Arabidopsis thaliana: one gene and its partner. The protein of the gene in region 2 interacts with the protein of the main gene of each other region in a pairwise test. Each region holds a gene or a part of one and is shown on either strand. Other genes may lie near its edges.

What was found.
Region 1: the proteins of AT1G26460 (region 2) and AT4G35850 interact in a two-hybrid assay, tested with the Arabidopsis thaliana proteins (one large-scale study listed by BioGRID).

The regions. Positions count from the first base shown.
Region 1 is NC_003075.7:16,980,559-16,989,465, reverse strand, and holds AT4G35850 (Pentatricopeptide repeat (PPR) superfamily protein), read right to left. Parts: upstream 5,942-8,907; 5' UTR 5,829-5,941; coding exon 5,801-5,828; intron 5,661-5,800; coding exon 5,522-5,660; intron 5,350-5,521; coding exon 5,187-5,349; intron 4,987-5,186; coding exon 4,921-4,986; intron 4,820-4,920; coding exon 4,722-4,819; intron 4,550-4,721; coding exon 4,432-4,549; intron 4,349-4,431; coding exon 4,142-4,348; intron 4,021-4,141; coding exon 3,944-4,020; intron 3,779-3,943; coding exon 3,685-3,778; intron 3,423-3,684; coding exon 3,357-3,422; intron 3,255-3,356; coding exon 3,177-3,254; intron 3,074-3,176; coding exon 2,972-3,073; intron 2,884-2,971; coding exon 2,785-2,883; 3' UTR 2,499-2,784; downstream 1-2,498. Other genes in the region: GB2 (GTP-binding 2), read left to right, coding at 627-672, 787-926, 1,336-1,418, 1,781-1,985, 2,079-2,147, 2,256-2,348; AT4G35840 (RING/U-box superfamily protein), read right to left, coding at 7,200-7,586, 7,677-7,760, 7,855-8,033, 8,227-8,383.
Region 2 is NC_003070.9:9,147,951-9,156,623, forward strand, and holds AT1G26460 (Tetratricopeptide repeat (TPR)-like superfamily protein), read left to right. Parts: upstream 1-3,677; 5' UTR 3,678-3,865; coding exon 3,866-4,512; intron 4,513-4,720; coding exon 4,721-4,943; intron 4,944-5,031; coding exon 5,032-5,514; intron 5,515-5,743; coding exon 5,744-5,950; intron 5,951-6,039; coding exon 6,040-6,177; intron 6,178-6,262; coding exon 6,263-6,457; 3' UTR 6,458-6,812; downstream 6,813-8,673. Other genes in the region: AT1G26450 (Carbohydrate-binding X8 domain superfamily protein), read right to left, coding at 1,053-1,326, 1,575-1,602, 1,693-1,932, 2,062-2,113; AT1G26470 (chromatin modification-like protein), read left to right, coding at 7,184-7,303, 7,390-7,462, 7,655-7,706, 7,805-7,874, 8,000-8,086; GRF12 (general regulatory factor 12), read right to left, coding at 8,623-8,628.

The DNA of each region.
Region 1 (8,907 bases), on a different chromosome or scaffold from region 2:
AGTTTTGATGTGCAAGTTCTTTTGTATCATCAATTTAGCGATTATGGACTGCGCCATGCTTCAGATGAATAGAAAAAAGAAACTTATGCTGGTCTCGAAATCCACTAACCAAGCCATTCAACATCAAAGAAAAAAGCCCACATTATAAAAAAATAAAAAAGCCCACTTTAAACTATCAAATGCCCAACAATGGATGATGCACTAGTCGAGTCAGAGTGGACGGAGCCAAAGGCAGAGATGGATTTTAAGCTTTAATTTGTTTCCCAGATATTTTTCATCTGGTCCCTCTGTTTTTAAATAATTAACTAAAACGACTATAATAATTAATAAATTATACTATAGAGTATTTTGTGTGGATTTTTATTTACTGTTGAAACTTAAGGATACAAAAGAAAAACAATTATTCAGATAATTCGTCATTAGATCCCTTTAATTTTAGTAATTAAGTAAAAAGATTATAAAAGATGAGAAGGAGAAGATAGCTTCTTCATCGAGAAACCTCGAAATCAAAAAGCACGTCGGTGACTTGTACTCTTCAATCTCTTCTTCCTCTCTTTCACATCTCCTTCTCTCGAACCCATCGACCTGCGCTAATTCATCATCGACCTTGCTCAAATTCATCAACCATGTCTTACGATTATCTCTTCAAGTACATAATCATCGGAGACACAGGTGAGAGACCGATCTTTCACCTTTCTTAATTCCCAATTGTTTTATTTTTCTGGGTTAAATCCATTTCGTGCCGATTTTCATGTGTTTTCGTTGTTGTTTTTTTTGTCGTTTCAGGTGTGGGAAAATCGTGTCTGCTTCTGCAATTTACTGATAAGAGGTTCCAACCAGTCCACGATCTCACCATTGGTGTTGAGTTCGGTGCTCGGATGGTCACCGTCGATGGACGCCCCATCAAACTCCAAATTTGGGACACCGTACGCTTCCTCTCTCTTCTCTTGGTCGTAATTAGGTCATCAGGGAACTAATCACGTTTTATCGATTAGGATTGTTTTTTTTTTCTCCCTAAGGCAGGATGTGATTAAGAAGATTAATTGTCATAATCAATTCAATTTCTTCGTTTTTATATAAACAATGCCTCATTAGAATTGCCAATACCAAAAATTATGTTTGAAAATCATGTCCAGAGACTCAAAGTGGGGTAAAATTTCAAAAAAGTTAATCATTGCACGGTTCTTGATTAAGTTTCATAGGCTTATTGTAATAGAAGCTGAGTTCACCAGTGCATTCCTTGTTGTGATTTCTTCTGGTCAATAGTTCTTCCATTAGATGATGTATGTGTTGGAGTTGTGCTTTCTGATTAAAGTTTCGTATGATATTTTTTAGGCTGGACAAGAATCTTTTAGATCCATCACCAGATCATACTACAGAGGAGCAGCCGGAGCTTTACTGGTTTATGACATCACCAGGTTAGTTTTTGCCTTGCGACAATATATATCAGCTCGAACTTCTGAATTCCCCAGCAAGGTTTTGGAAGTGATTGGTTCTGTATTTGTGATTTGATAAACCTAGACTGTTGGAAAGGTTTTGGAAATTGGGAAGTTACTTTTATCTGAACAAAATCCTTGGCTATAATATTGGCAATGCTTGTTTGGGAGGATGTTAAGTTAACCATCCATCTTAAATTCTTGCTAAAATAGATATTTTTCCTCCATTGTTTTGGAATTTTGAAAGTTATGAAGGACATGAAGAATTGCAAGAGTTTTATCATTGAGGTTTTTCATGCTTTGATCTTTCTGAAGCTCAAAATTCTTGGTTCTTTGGGTTGCAGGAGAGAGACGTTTAACCATCTGGCAAGCTGGTTGGAGGATGCTCGGCAACATGCAAATCCTAACATGAGTATTATGCTGATTGGGAACAAATGTGATCTTGCTCACAAGAGAGCTGTTAGCAAAGAGGAAGGTCAACAGTTTGCCAAAGAACATGGCCTGCTATTCTTAGAAGCATCTGCAAGAACTGCTCAAAACGTTGAGGAGGTGACATTTCTTCCTTGCAACTCTTTTTCCCCATCCTGTTATTTGGCTGTAATCACATGGAGACTTTTGTCTTCTTTTTCTGGATTCCAACAGGCCTTCATAGAGACTGCTGCCAAGATCCTCCAGAACATTCAGGATGGTGTCTTTGATGTATCCAACGAGGTAATTTCCTTGTTGAATCTGGCAATATACTTAGTCTTCTGGTGTTCTCTAATCCCTCGATTGTGTTACAATGTGATTCAATTCCCTTGGTCTCTCTAAATTTTGCAGTCATCAGGTATCAAGATTGGTTACGGGCGTACTCAAGGTGCAGCTGGAGGAAGAGATGGTACGATCTCTCAGGGAGGTGGCTGTTGTGGTTAAAAAATCCTCGAGAGAGGTGTCACATATCTGCTGTAATCTGGTGATTCAGAAACTACTATTGCTTCTATTTACCTCTGCAAATGGATACACCAGAATGTATAGTTTCTCTTTCTTTCTTTCTTTTTTTCTCTTTTTCCCAGATTGTCTTTTATCAAAAAACCAAACGGGTGCATTTAAGAGTGAACAGGCTGATCTTTATAAACCAAACAGGCGTTGGCTTATTTAAAACGTTGTCGCTTTGTATGAAGCTCTCAAGGTTAAGTAATTGAAATCAAATCAGAATAATATCCAGTCATCATCTAGGTGAAATTTCCTTATTCATCTAAACGAACTGGTTTTAAAATACCCAGATGGTTCACAGAGATCCCAATAAGCAAATAGAAGTAGAAAACGAAGAAGCCATGATACCATCTTTCTTCCTCTTGGTCCCTTTGCTTTAACGCCTATTAGGTAATGTCCCTTCCCTAAGCCGCAAGTTATTGTATGTTCGCGTCACTAACATCAGTCTCGGATCATCCTCTGGTATTTCGCGTTCCTATGATTACCACACCACAAAAACCATCAATAACTAATACCAAGAGAAAGAAAGTTTGTGGTCAAATAAGAAAAAGGTTTTTTATTACTTTCAAGCCCTTGTAGTAAGCTTCAACAGCAGCTAGTGTTGGTAGAATATTCCGAGCTAGCATCAGATCCCATATCATATTTGCAACTGTGTACCCTCCCGTCTGCCATAAAGAAAATGTTTTTTTTTTTTTAACTTTCACTAAGCCAACTCTTTATATCAGTAAGATATTTCCAAAGTTTTTAGGGGAAGTTCAAGATTTTTACCTTTTCACCAGCGGCTTTGAGTAACAGATTGCTTCCAGTTCTTGGGTCTAAGAAGAAATTGCGTTCGTTCATTTGGATCTGCATTTACAAACAAATTGTCATCAGGCTCTACTATTGGCCCGTGTTTTGTTTACTTCATAGATTCTTTTTTTCAGTACAGCTCGAGCCAATAAGCATTACCAGAGTGTCCTGAGCAATCTTCATTCCATTATCGGTGTATCCTGTCATAGCTCCTTCTATAAGCGTCTGTAAAAATAAAACAAATAAATTGACATCTTCAGCATATACATATCACCCAAAGATATGTTGAACCAAGTATGGGAAACAGGACAGAAGCATAATTCTCTTCGACTAATGCGTTAGTTGAGAATTTAGATTTATTTGTATATACATTTGCGGGGTTTGACAATTGAGAATCAACAACTATAAGACATATATAGTAAAGAAGACGTTCACTCTCAAAGCAAATATAGAAAACACCAGTTATGAGGTCAGATCATTGTGTTACCGTGTATAGTTCCATGGCAGGGATTTTGTCTGCGCTCATGTAATCTTGAAACAGTTTGAGACCATTCTCAAAGTCTTGCGAATGTAGATAGCACCTGCGTAGATATAAAATAAGATGCATATACGTTAATCATGTTTTGATTCTCAACGAGAGTTAATAGTGTAGTATACTAGTAACAAAAGTTAATTTCGTAGCTAAAGACTGCCTATGTTTTAACATCTAGATGCAAATTAACATCAAAGTGTGTGTTCTATTGTACCTCATGATTTGTAGCATGCAGTAAGTGTCAGTATCTTTTCCGTCTTTCTTAAGCATCTCAAGAAGAGCTTCCGTTGCCTGCCATGAGGAATTGCTGGTAAGATGCAAAAATAAACTCCGAAACTGGCTTTTCTTATCTTTATCTTTATTCCCACTAAGTTCAGGACATTTTGGAATCTAGATAGACAGATCATCTTACTTTTACATCCTTCAGATCAGCGAGAGCACTGAATGCTACGTGATACACAGTCAAATTCCTCTGCAGAAACCTGGTCCTGTGGGAATAATCAGCGGTTGGAATATTGTACAGCTCTTCTTCACTGATGCTAAACATCACATCTTCTGCACTCTTCCTTGATGAATCAATTGCTGACCAGCCTTTTGACTGCTCCACAAACTCGAGAATCTTTTGAGCAAAAAGGAGGCTGTGAGAAAACCTACTTTAAAAAAAATAAAAGGAAATCTGAACAAGAAACCTTTACACGTTACCTTAGTAGAAAGATTATCTGGTCTGGGCTGCTTGTTTAAGTGTGCAGTTATGAGTCCCGCATAGCAGAACTGGTTCAAACCAACACCAGCAGCAGTCATATCCCGAACTATCGCATATCTAACAATTTATTTGATGTCAGATAAGAAAAAGATTAGATCACTTCTTAGATAGCGCTGAAGAGATAAACAAGTACTTACTTAAAACAGAGAAAAGTGGGATAAAAGCTTATCAAAGAGTATCATTTCAATTAGTGAGCACTCAAAAGACAATAGAAGCAGTGGTAACCTACACAAGATCTAACTGGCCAGAAACAGCGCAGGCATTGAGCAGGCAGACAAAGGTCTGTCCATTTGGTTTTACATCATATCTCTTCATCTCGTCATAGACCTTACAGTAAGACAACCAAAAGTTTCATTAATGAATGAAAATCAAGGAATGTAAAAGAAAAAAAAAAGGTCTTCCATTAAAGCAAGTGGAAGATAACATACTCGGATTGCCTCCTTTCCATTCTTGCATTTCCCACATGTGGAAATTAAAAAGTTGTACAAGTTCACCTACAAGAATGAACGCACGGTGAACAACACAAGCCACGGATGGACGGACTCATTCTGTAAAGTCTAAATCATTGAATAAGGAATCGCTCAATCAGCTGCTAGATTTTCTATATTTCACCTTTTCTTAGGAACATAAATCAACAAGACGAGTTTATTCTATGCAATGTAAGAGTAAAAAACAACAAGATCATAGGACATACATCTGGAGCAATCCCCATGGCTTTCATTTCTTCCCGGAAAAAGAACGCATCGCTTAACCGAGCACCCTTCATCGTTCCCACGACAAATGAATGGAAGATATCAGCTGTAGGCTGCACACCATCAAGCTTCATATCATCATAAACATCCCTCAGCAAATAGTGCCTACCCAAAAAAGAAAAGATTTATCATATATTTAAGCATGGACCAATGAAGTAACCAAGTATATATTATCATGGCAAAAGAGTTCTCAATCTCAATATCTCATCACATTCATATTGGATCCCCCCATGTTCTGAACACAATGAGCAATACAAATCAAGGGGGGAAAATAAACCTGCGCTGAGCTGTGACGGAGTTGACAGCGGTGTTGTATTCCGACAGATCGTTGGCGTAATTTCTCTTTGCGATTTCCTCCGGCGATGAAGCGAAGTAACGCCGACTAACTAGAGCTCGAACCAGAGATCGATTCCTCCCTGTTTCCGTCGAATCAAAAACTAACATTAAGGACGAATGTGCAGTCGATTGAATCAAAAGGATAAAGATCGATTCATGACAGATGCAAAATGGGATCTATCTAGTTAGTCACGAGGATGAAAAGTCCATAAAAGCATACCAGAAATGGATTGCATGAGGAACTTCATAGCTCACGTGATATCCTTACTTCCGCCAGAAATCGAAGAGAAGCCAATACAAGCTTTTCCGGCGAGTCTCAGACTACGGAGAGAGTGAGAGAGAGGAAAACTGTATAATCGAGTTCCGCCGTCGGAAAAAAGGATATATCATCAGCTCAGGCCTCAGGGTTTAGGGAATAAACATAAACCGGAAAATATACAGATCTAACCGGGAGTTAACCGGTTTGATTTAATGGATCGGAATTTTAAAAGCTTATGCTCACTGTATGGGCCTTGATGGGTTATTGGGCTTAATATGCAGAACCAGTTGACGATGATCACGTGGCTATCGAGTGGTTCACGTGGCTGCCACGTGTACCGAAGAAGAAACGATGATGATGGAGAAAAAGATATTATTACAGTTGGGGGATGTCCCAACTAATTAAAACTTTGAATCTGTCGGAAGATCACGTGAAGACAACTAATATTTGTTCTTCTTGCGTTAAGTGAGAACTATTGACCAAAAGAAACCTTTATTTTAATCAAAGCTCGTGCAATTCCATTTTCGAAAACGAATTTCAAAAACACTTTTCAATCAACACACGACAACACTTGTAGAATTTTGTAGTAGTTGTTCAGTCGATACTGCTTCCCGTGATTAAAAACCTGTGGTTCATATTTTATAAATTTAAGTAATTAAAGTGCCAGATGACCAGATACAACGTTGAATACTCTTTTAACTAAACTTTAAATACAACAGACTACTCTTGAAATAAATGTTTAAAGTTTTTATAAAGTTCCATGTAATTCAAAAGACCCCCCAAATATAGAGGACTTATAGGCAAACCTAGAAAAAGCATCATGAAAAAAGATAGAGACTGATCAACATAACCATATTATTATTCACTTTGTTTGTTAAGTAAAACATTTAACCAAATGACAAGTTACAACACGGAAAGCTCTCGTAATAATTGCACTAGCCAAAATTGACATTGTAATTAATTACGTGTTGGTGAGTATTATTAATGTTTTGTTTAGATGTAAGAAGAGCTAATTAACAAACCAAATCAAGAAATGTGATTTGGCATGATTTTATCTCCTGGAGGCCCACACGAGCCATAGATTCACACATAGAATTCAATTTCTTTCCTTCACGTCATAACTACTGAATGTAGTTGTATTTACGAAAATTCAATCACTCACTTCAAAGTTTGGTGAGACCAACACACAATCTAAAGTCTTGAATTTAATGGGTTTGGTTAAGATCAACTTATTTCAAAACTTTTTTTTTTTCATTTCTTTGTACATATATAGAGACTCTAACCACATGATTACGAATTTACGACCATACAAGAAGAAGGAGAGAGAGGGAAGAGGCTGTGCAAATGGTAAGAAAAGAGATTACAGATCGCGTCTACACATTGGACAAGATCCGTGCCTGAAGAGCCAATTGTCTATGCAAGGCAAGTGAAACATGTGATGACAATGTGGCAAGCTTCTCACCGTTTCACCAAGTTGAAAATCCTGCAAAAAGTTACACAAAAGAAGATCAAGAACTAAACCTTTTGGTTCTGCATTTGGGGAATTAAGATTTCGTTTGAGCTGAAATGAGCAAAAAACCTGAAGACAAACAGAACATGAGTCTTTGTTGCCAGAAGCATCTAAGTTGTTTTTGCCAGTGATTTTGATTTTAGGTATTTTATCAACCAAATCTCCTGTTAACCCCTTTGAGCCACCGGTATCGAAAATACTCGAGAGCTCTTCGAAAGTTGAATCCACAGCTCCCATCTGATCAGTGAGAAGAGAGATGAATATGATTAGAGGAGATCTCATTGCTGATAATGGAACCAATAACACATTGCTAATAAAAAACTGTACCTGACTTTGAACCGCACTTAGCATTGCTGGACCTATTCGTTCCCGCACAAGTCTACCACTTATCAGACTAACAATGACATCAATCTACACAAAGATTAACAAGAAACAAGAATCAGTTCGAATCAAATCTGGAAAAAAACAGAGCAGATGAGTAGTTCAAATGAAGATCTCAGCTCACCAAGTAGAGGAGACATCCAAAACGTGACTCATTAGATTTCCAAAGAACAAGAGATGACTCAAAGACTTCGATAGAGAAAACAGCTCCCGAAATGGCTCCAACCGCCGCTCCTCGGATAAACCCACTTTCGGTTTCTTGGCCTATCAAAGCTCCAGTAAGTGCTCCAAGCAATGTGCCCACTGAAGAAGGAAACAACTTTCTTAGCTCTACATAAAAACCCAAAGTTGCAGATTCTACCCTACTCAACAGTAAAGTGATATCAATGATCAAATCAATCCAAAGCAGGACAAAAAGCTTCATAAAAGTTTCCAAGAAGTGGAGAGACATTCTTGAAAAGAATCAAGAAATTGTAATAGGAAACAAGAGACCGACCTAAAGCGAAGAAGAAAGTCAAGACCGCCGAGAGAATTGTCCCTAGAACAGCGGAGAGGGTGAAACGACATGCGTCTTTAATCCTTTCGATGAAATTCTCAAGAGAGGGACACGAAGAGATAGGACAAAACCCAGATTGGAATCTAGAAGAGGCCATTTTTTTTTTTACGGAACCCGCCAAAGATTAAAGAGACTCGAAACGATCTACGGTAAAAACAAAAACAGAGCTCAGTGGAGTTTATACAAGAGAAGAGAGAAGGAAGAGAAAGAAGATAGAAGAAAGAGGAGAGATGGGTTTTGCTTAGCCCTTAAGAGAGAAGATCCGATGTCTGGCCTACTTGCAATTAAGTTTTTTAACCTCAAGTAGGTGAAGTAAAATCTAGGGTTTGCCTGTCATGATCTATGTTGAAAACACCACTAATTTTTTTTTAATCATTTCAATGCTCGAAAGATAGAAGCAGAGAGTTATAAAGAAAAGGTTATTTATAGTTTAATAAAATAACTTCTTCGTTTTTTACATAAATTTTTAAAATGTGTTAGATTTTAATTATAAGAAAACTACGGGAGATATTTAGATTGTCTGAATAATACCAAAATATGGTAGGGTCGATCATTTTCGAATCATACAAGCAATCAGAAGAAACAATTAGATACGAAACAGAAATAATTTCTATACATGTT
Region 2 (8,673 bases):
TATATTCGGATAAAAATACTTGGGTTTTGTAGATTTTTGAATATTTTCTAGTAGTTCGCATAGAATCGAATATAAATACTTTTTGATATTTTTTTATATTTAAATACTTCGTTAAACCTAAATCTGAACCGAATCTGAAGTTTTGAAATAAATAAATGGGTCCTATATTTCTAAATCTAAAACCAAAAAAGCCAACCCAAATATCCAAACGTCCAAACCTACCTTGAAGGATAAAGATTATTGCTGTTCTTTTTAAAAATGAGATATTACAATTACCATTTTCTCTAATATGTTAAAATTTTGTTATTTGGTTTAGAATAAAGAATTTGTCACACGCTTCTAAGATGTTAAAACTGTATGATCCATATGCTGCTATTCCGCAGATGTTACTCTCAATGTTCACTAAAAGAAAATGAACAAGTCTCTTTACATTACAGTAATAAATACATTGGAAAGCAGGTGAAAAAAAGAACAAAATCATCATGATGGTGGGCATTGGAATGAAGGCCTTAAAACAATTTTAACTAAAAGTCCATTGAACTACCCAAAAAAAGAGAGTAAAAACATCACAATTTGCGCTTTCTGGAACACCTTGATAAAGATCGTGTTAATTGTTACCACAAACCATATTAAACATTATAGTATTGAGAATTGATAAGTGGTGCACTAACACCAAACATCTGTTATTAAATATAAAATAAAAAAAAAACCTGAAATCCTTGTAGCAACATTTTCTTCTTAGCAAACAACCAAGAAACTATCAAAGAGAAACATGTTATCTTTATTGGCGAAGGCATAATTATAAGTAAAAATAATACAACCCAAAGAGCATCTCATTTTTTCTGGATTTACAAAAGAAAGCAAGAAAAAAGCTCTTGATTAAGATTTTCTATAAACCAAAATACTTAAGAAGACGAGCGAGAGTCACAATCCTAATTGGAAATTAAAGATTAAAATTCGGTGGGAAGAAAGATAGGCTCTAATTAACTTGGCATTATCTCAGCCGTCCACAACAAATAAGCGTCCTCGTCATCATCTTGAGATGATCTTACCTAAACCCTCAATGCCACGGCAGCGATGGTAGTCAGTAAGATGATCGTCGTGGTTCTGACGGATAGCTCTTCTCCACCGTTGGGATCACCACTCGTGCTGCTAGATGGTCCCATAGTAGTACTGTCAGGAAACGTTATCGTAGATGAAGTCGGCTTATCATTAGTGGGTAGTGTGCTGTTTGTTGAATTGCCTGTGGATGGATTTGTGGTGCCTGGACTTGCTGTGGTTGAATTTCCGGTGGATGGATATCCGGCAGTGGGGGTTCCGTTGGAACTACAAAAAGGTTACTCTTATAAACACACTTAAATCATCATCACAATTTTTAAGAAGATATAATTAATATTTTGGTAATAAATCAGTAATAAAGATTCTGTCACACATTAGTAGACAAATGACTGAACTATTTCAACGACTAGAATCATCAGAGAGCTCATTACTGATCTAAAGAAAACACTAAGCAAACGAAAACAGAGGGAAATAACCCTAATCTAAACTCTAAGGCAAGGTGATGTGAAACATACCTAGAACTAGATAAACAGCTTGACGTAGCTGCAAGAACAGAGTAAATAAAGAATCAGCAAAAAAAAAAAAAGATACACATTTGATGAAAAGAAGTTGTGGTTTTAATGGAAGGAATACTCGAAGGAGGGGAAGTGGAGATGACGGCGGCGCCGTTGAAGTCACATGTGGCACCGGTGGAAGCTTTCTTTTGATAGTAGCTGTTAACGGCAACGTCACAGTGGTTCTTGAGGGTGTTTGGTTGATAACAAGCTCCGGTCGTCTGAATCTGTGCACAGTCAGCACCTCCTCCACATGCGAAGTCTATCACCTTCTGAAGATCCAGCTCGTTAGCGTCCTTGCACACACAAACCGCCGCGTCTGTACAAAACAGATATCTCGGATTAGCATTACAAGGAAAACGTAACCAAGAAGCGAAAATGTCGGAACCATTTTGAGTCTTAATGCCAAGGGACAAAGAAATGTTCAAAGAAGATAGAAAGAACTTACTTGAATAGGTAAACATGAAAGAGAGAAGAAACAGAGGAAGCAAAACCGCCATGACTGCTTAAACTTGATCGGACTTGTCTAACACTGAGAGTACCACAAATGTGAGTTTGCGAGTTTGTTAGAGAGAGAGGAGATTATTCTGATATGATGATCGACAATTTATACTCTTTATGATATTTCTTGGGTACTAATAAGCAGAATACCCTAAGGCTTAAGTAAAGAAAAGTTCAGATATTATTGTGTGATGACTTGTAAATGTTAGATTTTGAGTACTCAAAGCAATGTGGGTCTCTGAAACAGAGAAGGTGAAAAGCATTCCTGTCGTCTAGTCAATGTGTGACTGTGGTCGGTCGACGCACGTAATATTGTAGGCTTTATGTGAAAAACTAGCTTTGTTAATTGTTATTCTTACTAATTTGTCACCTAAGTTTACGTACATCTGATGCATTCTTTTTTAGGATTTAGATAAGAGTCTAGCTTTCCACAAAGACAACAAAAGATGCATGCACACGTTTGCAAATGTAAAATGTTATTTAACATATTATAAGATAAAATAAGATAAAGATGTTTTTAAAGTAAAGTAATTTGATTTTGAAGCACTAACCGATGGAAAATAATGGAGAAAAACAGGGAAAAGAACACAAAACAATTGGAAATAGTATACACTCTTTAAAGGCAAAAACTTAAGTATTAAGTACTTTTTAAAGGCAAAGCGGCTAAGCGAGGGAGCCATGTGCAGGACAAACTTTGCATCCGCATTACAAAACGTGTGATTGTGTTACAACGTACAAGTCACAAAGTCACACAAATAATCCGAAATGGTGTTGACAGGGCGACCAGAAATAGCTATAAACCTTACCTAGCTCTAACGTAAGTAATCACTTTTTCCTTCTCAGTAATTTATTTTTATTGCTTCTCTTTGACTCTGGAGATGGACTCAACCTCTTATACAAGCTCCATGGCCGATTAAGGGACTTTGTTGGACCGAACTCCATGAATAATATGCCGTAATCTTAGATAAAAATTCCTTCTTATCATTCTATTTAATTTAAATGGATGTTTTCCTATCATGCTGATGTCAAGTATGAAACTCATCACCAACAATAACCATGAGCGAAAGATCTCGCTTAAATTTGTTGCAAACTGAATCGCTAATACCGAATAAGCGAAAAATATCCCAACACCAACCATTAAAAAGTGATTTGACGTTATATACATCCTTAACTTATATAAAAACCAAGCGTTTAAAACTAAAACCAACAAAAACACACTTGTAAGAAGAAAAACCATAGCATGTCCATTGCACATATGAGGAAGGTGTCTTTAGCAACATTTAAAAAATTTAAATTACAAAATATTAATAATTAAATGTGAGAGGTCTTTAAATTAAAGACATCTTTTCAAAAAAAGGTCTTCACCAAGACATTTAGACACAATGTTTTTAATTTAAAGACACACCTAAACATTAAATAATATATCTTCTGTTTAAATATTAAATTTTAATTGTGGAAGACTCCCTCATATGATGTATGTGTGGTTTCTTTGAAAAATCAAGGTTTGGGCTATATCTATTAATGGGCTGGGCTTTATACTAAAAGACTAAAACATGTCGAGGAGTCAAAGACAACTTCTGAAAAAAAGACATCAGATTTCTTGGATAATCTCTAAAATGCCACTGCCGTCATCGAGAACAGATCGTCACGACCGGAGTTAGTAGTGTCTAAAAACTCATCTGAGAGAGAAGAACTCAGAAAACCCTAAACACAGATAAACCCCAAAACTCAAAAACCAAATCTTTCCAACAATGGCGTCTCATCTCTTTACCCGATCTCGAATCTCTCTCCTCAAAACCCTAAAACCCAATCCTTTTACCTCAGCTTCACCCATCAGAGCCATTTCCGGTACACCATTCCTCTCTCAAGATCCTCTGCTCGCAACCGAATCAACAGATCACGACCCATCAAACCATCAATCAACCTCCACGCCGCTTCCACCGAATCCAGCAACAGGAAGTCCTCTTTACCAAGAGAATTGGCGTAGTCCGATCCCAAACACTCCTTCCTTCAACCAATCTCTAGTTCCATTAGGATTTCTAAATCAAGCTCCTGCTCCTCGTATCAGAGCTCTCTCTGAGACGCTTGACATGAACTCGCTGCTGAATATGTTTGCGGATTGGACTGCTTCGCAGCGTTGGTCTGACATGAAGCAGCTTTTTGAGGTTTGGGTTCGATCGCTTGACAAGAATGGGAAGCCGAATAAGCCTGATGTGAACCTTTACAATCATTACCTTCGAGCTAACTTGATGATGGGTGCTTCTGCTGGAGATATGCTTGATCTTGTTGCGCCAATGGAGGAGTTTTCTGTTGAACCTAATACAGCGTCTTATAATCTAGTTTTGAAGGCTATGTACCAGGCAAGAGAGACTGAAGCCGCCATGAAGCTGCTTGAACGGTTAGATTCTCTGAGTTCGTAGATAGATTCCTTTTTTGTACAATGAACAATGCTTCTAGAAATAGTGTAAAGATTAAGACTTTACATGATTGAACGGTAAGATTTGCTGATGAATCAAAGGTTATCTCTGCATAGCAGCTACTGATACTGTTGTCATGTAAATGTAGATCTTTTCAAAATGTATCATGACTTGATGTAATTTGGTCAGGATGCTCCTCTTGGGGAAGGACTCTCTTCCGGATGATGAATCATATGATTTGGTTATTGGAATGCATTTTGGAGTTGGGAAGAATGACGAAGCCATGAAAGTTATGGACACGGCACTGAAATCTGGTTATATGTTATCCACCAGTGTCTTTACTGAATGTGTTCGTAGTTGTGTAGCCAAAGGTAGGACAGATACACTGGTCTCCATCATCGAGAGGTGTAAGGTACAGATGAGTTTTTTGTTATCTTCTATTGACATTTGAAGCTTTTGCAGTCTCGTTTATCAATTATATGTGTATTTTTGTTTTGCAGGCTGTTGATCGGAACAAGTCTCTTTGCCCTAGCTGGATACTGTGTAACTATATTGCAGAAGTTGCAATTCAAGAGGATAATAGCAAGTTGGCCTTTTATGCGTTTGAATTTATGTTCAAGTGGATCACTAGAGGCGAAATGGCTAGGCCGTCGGTTATTTTTTCTGTTGATGAAGGGTTGGTAGTAGCAGGCCTTGCAAGTGCTGCTAGGACTTGTAGTTCATCTTTAGTGGAAGGATCATGGACGATTCTGAAACAGAGTCTGCGTGGGAGGAAGGCAGCCAACCCTGCATCTTACATTGCAAAGATTAATGCCTATGCATCGTTGGGGAATCTGCAAAAAGCTTTCACTTCACTTCATGAACTTGAATCCGCATACGCAGACTCTGAAAAAGAAGTTGTGGAGGAAATGCTTTCACCTTTTACATCATTATACCCGCTGGTTGTGGCGTGCTCTAAGAAAGGTTTTGAGACATTGGATGAGGTATACCTCGACTCTTCCTAAGGGTAAATATTCTATATATTCTCAGCTTTGTTCGTAACAAGAATTAAGGTAGGGTCTTTGGCTAAGATAGTTGTGAAATTTAATAGAACAAAACCAGAAAACCTGTTTATCGAAGTCGAGTATCATGGTCTGGATATTAATGCATTTTAGAGTGAAGCAGCTATAACGCTTAGCTTATCTGACCTTGCACTGTCACATAATCCACCAGGTATACTTCCAGTTGGAGAGTTTGAGTCAAGGTGATACTCCATATAAGTCTGTTGCTGCTCTAAACTGTATAATTCTTGGCTGCGCAAACACATGGGATCTGGATCGTGCTTATCAGACGTTTGAGGCAATAAGTGCCTCTTTTGGGCTGACTCCTAATATCGATTCATACAACGCTTTACTATATGCATTTGGAAAAGTCAAGAAGGTGCTGTTTCTATGTCAAATCACTCTCTAATATTTTCTTTTCATGAATTAACTATTTGGCCTTACGACTCTAGTCTATTTGCTTTGCAGACTTTCGAGGCCACGAATGTATTCGAGCATCTGGTTAGCATAGGTGTTAAACCTGATTCCCGGACGTATTCATTACTGGTTGATGCTCATCTCATTAACCGGGATCCCAAATCAGCTCTGACCGTCGTTGATGACATGGTAAACCAGAATTAACAGACAAAACCTAACCTCTATGAGAGAATGATGTGTGTCTGAGAAACTAATGCATGTTCTAATTATACAGATCAAGGCTGGATTTGAACCCTCTAGGGAGACATTGAAAAAGCTGAGAAGGAGATGTGTCAGGGAAATGGACGATGAAAACGATGATCAAGTGGAGGCATTGGCCAAGAAGTTTCAGATCAGAATGGGAAGCGAGAACCGCAGGAACATGCTGTTCAACATAGACTACTCCAGGGGCCGAGCATTAAACAATTGAAATCCAAAATGGATGGTTGTAATAACGAACCCTTGTGAGAAGTAAGGAATGAAGCCCCGGCTCATCTAGTTTTGAAGTTATGGATCATCATGCCCAGTGTTTCATTGATGTATATTGCTTCATTTTATTCTTCCGAGTCTCTTAATCTGATTTTTATCCAATACATTACTTGGCTTCTTTTTTTCTTTTTCGGAAACCAATAGAGTTGGGTTCTTACTTTCTTAGGATCGATAGTCTTAGGAAGATGCTTTTGCATTGACCAATAATGTCAAAACCTTTGGAATATTTTGACTTTTATCTTCTTTGAATCTAAAGAGTTAAATTCAACCCTATATTAATTGATTTTAGTTTTAAAATGATTTTATGTTTTTGGATGACTTTAGGAAAAATGTTATTTGTTGTAAAATCTCCCAAATCTCACTTAAAAAAGTTAAAGCCATGAGATTTATAATTTTGTATATTTAACTAAACAAAATTATCTAAAACCCCTTAAAATGAGTGCAAAAAATAACATTCAATAACATTAGATTTTAAAATGAGTGCAGAAAAAGAATTAGATTTTAAAATAATCATTGTGTGTGGGATGAAAGCACAAAGACAAGGCCTTAAATATGGGCCGGCCCAGTTCAGAGATCAAACAAGCACTCCTGTATATATACACAAATCACAAACAGCTTATGAGAAGTTTTCAACACATTTGGGATCAAAGCCACAAAACCCTAAAAAATGGGTGGAAGAACGGACGAAAGTGGCGGAGGAGGTAAAGAGAAAGAGGAAGAGCAAGATGGTTTGTCCGTACACTCTCCCTGTAAAGCTTTACCTTCCTCCGCCTCCTCTCTCTCCAAGGTCTCTCTCTCTCTTTCTCTCTATCTCTCTACCATTTCTGTTCCTGAGATTTTAAAGGTTCCTCTTTTATTGGATTTGCTTCTCAGGAGCAGTCACAGGTTGAATTAGAGCTAAGGTTATTAGAAGCCCTTGAAATCTATCCTCCTGTTAAACTCCGAGGCAAGTTTCACTTCTCAAATCTTGATCCTTTAGCTACGTTCTATATGCTTCTGCCAATGTTTACTTTTGTATCATGATAGTTATCAGAAACCATTATCAAATGCAATCATTTCAATGTCTATTGTTCTTGCACATTGATCAGTTTGTTGGTTTCTTGATTTCTTCTGCTAATGGGATCATGATGGTGTGCAGGGATACATCGCCACTTTGTTCTTTATGGTCTGATGGAGTATCTCGGAAGAAGGTTTGTTGTTCTCAGAGTTTCTTTCATACTTCCAATACATACATGAGTCTCTGATCCTTATTGATTGAGTCTTTCTATCAAACTATTCCTGTACATAGCTTTGACCGACCGTTCACTGCGGATGAGGTTCTGCAGCTACTCGATCGTTTTTACAACATTGAGATGCTGGTGAGTAGTAATTACAACAAGCATTGATTGTTATTTTGGTCCCATAGCTTTAGTTTCACTTCATGGCATTGTTTAGAGTTGTGGTGATGGTTTTATTAATCTGTTACCTCTGTTTTGTTTCTTAGAAATCAGATGATGAGGACATAGACATTCTGAATCACGAGGAAGACTTTACCTTGCCGCAGAGTTTCTTTGATAAGGAAGAAGAATGACAGAGGAAGAAGAAAAGATGTTTTCTTTTCATTCATCTTCTCCCATCTTTTTGTATATGGTTAGGTTTTGTCTTCAGCTCTTATGATAAGCTTTTTTCTATATATTCTGAAGTTTTAATGTCAATAAAACCATCAGGATCAATGAATAATCTTTTTGTTACTCTGTCCAGAGAGTTAATAATCATAACAAGCTTTTTGCGGTTTTCGCTCTTTTCATGTTTGCATTTAGAGCCAGGGTTGTGTTTGTTTGGCAATTTTTGATACACATTTGATTGATCTGATGGGAATGTATGATAGCAAAAGCATATGCTGATCAAATCATAATAAAATTGCGTAACATAAAATACTTGATGACATGAAAATTGAGAACAAAATAAAGAAGACGAAAAGTAATACAAAAAAGAAACAATATAGGATTGAATTCAATTGTCTCTGATCTCATCTTCCTGATGAAACCAAGCTATGGAATTTAAAGGAATTTGCCTCCCCCTTCTGGACATCGAATCTAAATCTCATTCAACTTCCAAGCCCTTTGATCAGTTCTGAAACGAACAAACAAAAGAGTGAGCCTTTAGACCCAACAAGAA